Linked DNA regions of Kluyveromyces lactis. Each later gene encodes a partner of the first gene's protein in a complex. Links are inferred from orthologs where the notes say so. Each region holds a gene or a part of one and is shown on either strand. Other genes may lie near its edges.

Region 1 (2,644 bases):
ATCCGAGACCTATCCTCACCAAAGCACCTCTGTCTTTATCTAGTAGCCATTTGACAAAATCAAAGTCTATATCAACTTTCGCCGTATTTGGCAGCCATTTCATGAGGGCACCATGAAAGAATAATACTGGAGTTAACAACCATCCTGTAAGCTCTTGTGGATTATATTGAAGGTTTCTCTTGATCCCAATAAAGTACCCACTTAAACCACCTACAAGACCAATTCTAGATTGTGCAAGTGACTGAGTATCCAGCAAGGATTCGGCATTATGTGTTTTCGAAGAAGTAGGCAGCTTCCTCATTATTCTCAAGGCAAATCCGGATAATATATGTATTGATATCCCAGTCCAAATCAACTTAGATCCAAGTCCAGATGTGAGTTCTCTAACCATCATTAAAGCATCGTTTGGAAAAGAGGAGGGCTCAAGAGCAGGAATTATTAGGGCATTGATACCGTGTAACGGAAAGTACGTTACTAGAGGGAATAAAGACCATTTTTGCGTCCACCTTAGCCATTTCTTAATATTCAACACTAAATTGACGCTGGCATCCTCGGGGGTTTTTGCTAAATCGGGGTCGATGTGTTTGGTCGGAATGGGCTTCAACGGTGTCAATTTCGCAGCAGTCATGAAGTTTATCAATTATAAGTCAGCGAATCACGCACTTGTTCATATACTCAAAGGGCAAGTGATATTTCTGAGAATCTTGGTATATCTGTTTCTTAATTTGATGTTGGCTTATTCATTACATTCCATCTTTACACATTGCATCAGAAAAGGAATATTAAAATGTAAAAACCATTACACGAATCGATGAAGGTAAAATAAACAGAGAAATAACACAAATATGGCCTGTGAAGGGTACATGAATGGTTGCATTTGAATATTACAAAGAATATACTTCATTTTTTCTGCCTAGATATTTATCATCATAAGATAACTCCAGTATAGGATTGAATTTACAGTATTCACGATGTCATTACCTAGTTGGTGCCCCAGGTATGACAGCAGGAAACACGACCCAAAAACTGGGGAAGAAGTTTATTGTATATGTAAGAAACCAGACACTGGGGAGTTGATGGTAGGATGTGATGGATGTGATGATTGGTTTCATTTTTCCTGTTTAAAGATCCCCGAGAAATATAGAGATCTCGTTTTTTCATTCTACTGTTCGTATTGTAGTGCTGGAATTACAGGACCGGCATTGATAAATGGCGGCAAACTACCGAAAACTCTTTGGAAGAGGAAATGCAGGCTCCCTGAATGCTATACAGAGTGTGATGCCAATTCAAGAAGCAAATATTGTTCAAAGAAACATGCTGTTCAATACGTTCAAAGCATTGTTGATAAGTTAAATCTACCTGGCGTAGATAAGATTGCATTGTTGAGACAGCTTCTAAACGAGACAACATCATTGGAGGAATTTAAAACGCTAGGACGAGACAAGCTTCCAGAAGTCACGTCACCTTTATCCAAAGATCAATATTCCAAGTTGCTAGAAAATGATCAGCATTTAAACAAATTAATTAACGAACACGATGAGTTGGTTTCGGTCAAGCTTTCAAAACTAAATGAAGAAGATGCAGTAATAGAGAAATACGTCAACTGGATCGGTGAAGTTAACGAGAGATTATCCCCACATTTCAATCAGCCTACAGGTCGAAAGAAGTCGAAAAGTGCAAGTAAAGTTACAATATGCGGCTACCATAATGAGTTCACGATCCCTCGGTCAGTTGAGGAGTTTTTAGATAAGCTACTTCAGTTGAAAGAAGACGAAAACAGTAATATCACATCAGTTGACGGTGTTTGTGTAAAGACAAAATGTGCTAAGCATCAGGATTGGATTACATTGTCCCAAAACGATCTCTCGGAACAGAAGGACTCTCTAGAAAACGTCAAAAGAAGACTCGATTTACTAATTAGCGTCAGAACGAACCAATTGAGAATCTCATTCTTCGAACAAGAGATGTCCAATCGCGTCCTACCCGGTGTTAAGACCTAGCTCATATCTAATGTGTCACTTTTCTGTCATTACAATGAAGGCGAAACGCTTATATTTAACTTGTAGCATCAACTAGCAAGAAAAGCATGTATAAATAATTTAACCTAATACAAACATCAGGTTTTTCATATGCTTCTAGTCCAATAATTGAACGTATATAAGCTTTATCCTATCGTAAACCTAATTCATCTAATCGTCACATAGTTAAAGTCACTTACCATGTTATTCATTCTATGAGAAAACAATATAAAAATGAAAAACCAATGAGCTCAATATCACCATTAAGGTCTGGTTGTTTTACGAAATATAAAGGGGCAGGACAAAAGATAGCAGACATACCTTATAATTGTATCTCCTATTAGGAACCTCTATTCTCTCGCTGTAAGTTTCAAAGATATTGGTTTTGTGGTAAGCGTTTGGAGGAAGCTTTTAAACACATAAACTTACAAACAAAATATGGCAACAGATATCAGAACAAACAAGGTTAAGAACGAAGAGTTCAAGATCTGGAAGAAAACTATCCCATCCTTGTATGAGCATATCTCTACATTGCAACCTAAAATCTTTAGCCCTTCTGAAAGTGCCCAGTCACCTGAAAGGAGAGTTTTGTTCACCGAACTTATCTCGGAAGAGGCAGATAAGGG
Region 2 (1,672 bases), on another chromosome or scaffold:
GATAATGTGAATCAAATCCTAAGTCTGAAAATAACTTGCAAACCTCATAAAACTGGTCATTCGATATGGATCTTGTCTCAACCTCAATTTCAAACCCTCTTCTAATTAGATCGTTCAACTCAGAATATAATTTATATCCAACAATGGTGACCAGCCATTGTACGAGAAGTGAGTAATGTCGTATATTTAACCCGAGTTTGTGTAGTGCTCGCTCTAAAGGTAAGAAAAGAGGCTGTATTTTCCTTAGTTGAAGTTTTATTGTTAGGATGTGTTTTGCCAAGCTCCCAATAGTCAATGGACTTTCAATAGTGTTAGTCATATGCTGCATTTCATTGTCAAAGCTTTGTAAGAAACCTCTTGTGACATCGAGTAAACGGTTCTTATTGTCGTCCAATCCATTAGCATCCGAGTACCTTAGTTGGTCAATCCATCGTGTAAGTCGTTTATTCACATCTTTTAACTCATCCTCTGATTTATTCACTAAATTACCGTAGGTGAACCATGTTAGCTCTTTTCCGTTTCGAATATTCATGGGAAGTTAATAGTTCATATCTTTCAGGTGTCATACACAGGGCTCAACGTATAACAAGAAGCTCTATTGCTCCTGCCACTTCTTTGTTGAAGTGCATCTTGAATGGAGGTTTGACTATTGAACTATCTTGTCTTGGCCAAAAAACTGGAAATTTTGGCGATTTTGCAGACCTTTTCTTTGCAATTCAGTGTAAGAAATTGCTACCTTGGTCTGGTATTGATGGTTTCACAATCACCTAAGGGTAGTACACGGCATGAATAGTAATGGTAACGATTTGAAAGAAGAGTCTTTAGATCCTGCCAAATATTTGGCGGAAACTTTTAAGAAGGAGGGTCATTTAGACAGTTTAAAGAATGAAATACTATCTCAAAATGTAGAGGGTGATATTAGCTTGGACGAATTCATAAAGAGCCGAGTAAGGGATTTAGTTCGTGATAGGGTAAATGAAGATGAGTCTTTAATTTTCAAGAACAGAGGTACCACGACTGCTCTTCTTGAGGGCCAATTATTTAAAGACGGATTCAAGAGTTTAAACACGTCAAATATCGATGTGGAGAAGCTTCTGAGTGATTCACTTGACGATGCGACGACGAGACAAAAGATAAGAACTATCCTTGAAGCCAAAACTAATGATAGTTGATTGAACAGATAAAGTAGCAAGGCTGCTACATATATATTTTACTTCGTTAACTAATGTAATATAATAGGTCATCGCAACGGCGACTCTTAAATTTTCTACCGGCTCTATCAACACTTCTATATTTAAATCTATCACCAAGAATTGTATAGGCTAAAGATTCTTCTTCATTGATTGGAATCTCGAAATCGAAAGTTGTTCCTTTCTTCGGTATGCTTTTCAATTCATCGACTAATCCGCCTTTCGTTATGATTATGAATGTCTTTTGAGCATCCCATATTACAATACCATTTTTCCCAGTTAATGACTTGTTTTTGGATTTAGATACCTTCAACTTACACCCGTTATAATCAGCCATAGAGAGCTTGATCAAAGTTTGCTGAGAGTTCAAAGGTAATGGATTTCCAACTTTGTGATTATCTGGGATGTTCAACAATTCTTTCATGTATGGACACCATATATCTTCGAACATGGAGGAGAAAGTTTCAAAATTCGGCAGTTGC

Evidence for each region.
Region 2: SPP1 (region 1) and SHG1 share a complex: the UniProt entries of both Saccharomyces cerevisiae proteins name them as parts of the set1C/COMPASS complex. The link is inferred for Kluyveromyces lactis from reciprocal best matches to the Saccharomyces cerevisiae genes SPP1 and SHG1.

Annotation. Positions count from the first base shown.
Region 1 is NC_006040.1:618,659-621,302, forward strand, and holds SPP1 (Spp1p), read left to right. Parts: upstream 1-971; coding exon 972-2,000; downstream 2,001-2,644. Other genes in the region: MCP1 (Mcp1p), read right to left, coding at 1-628; KLLA0_D07282g (uncharacterized protein), read left to right, coding at 2,457-2,644. UniProt on the Saccharomyces cerevisiae protein: Component of the Set1C/COMPASS complex that specifically mono-, di- and trimethylates histone H3 to form H3K4me1/2/3, which subsequently plays a role in telomere length maintenance and transcription elongation regulation.
Region 2 is NC_006042.1:196,914-198,585, forward strand, and holds SHG1 (Shg1p), read left to right. Parts: upstream 1-785; coding exon 786-1,172; downstream 1,173-1,672. Other genes in the region: KLLA0_F02167g (uncharacterized protein), read right to left, coding at 1-532; POP4 (RNase P/RNase MRP complex subunit), read right to left, coding at 1,219-1,672. UniProt on the Saccharomyces cerevisiae protein: The COMPASS (Set1C) complex specifically mono-, di- and trimethylates histone H3 to form H3K4me1/2/3, which subsequently plays a role in telomere length maintenance and transcription elongation regulation.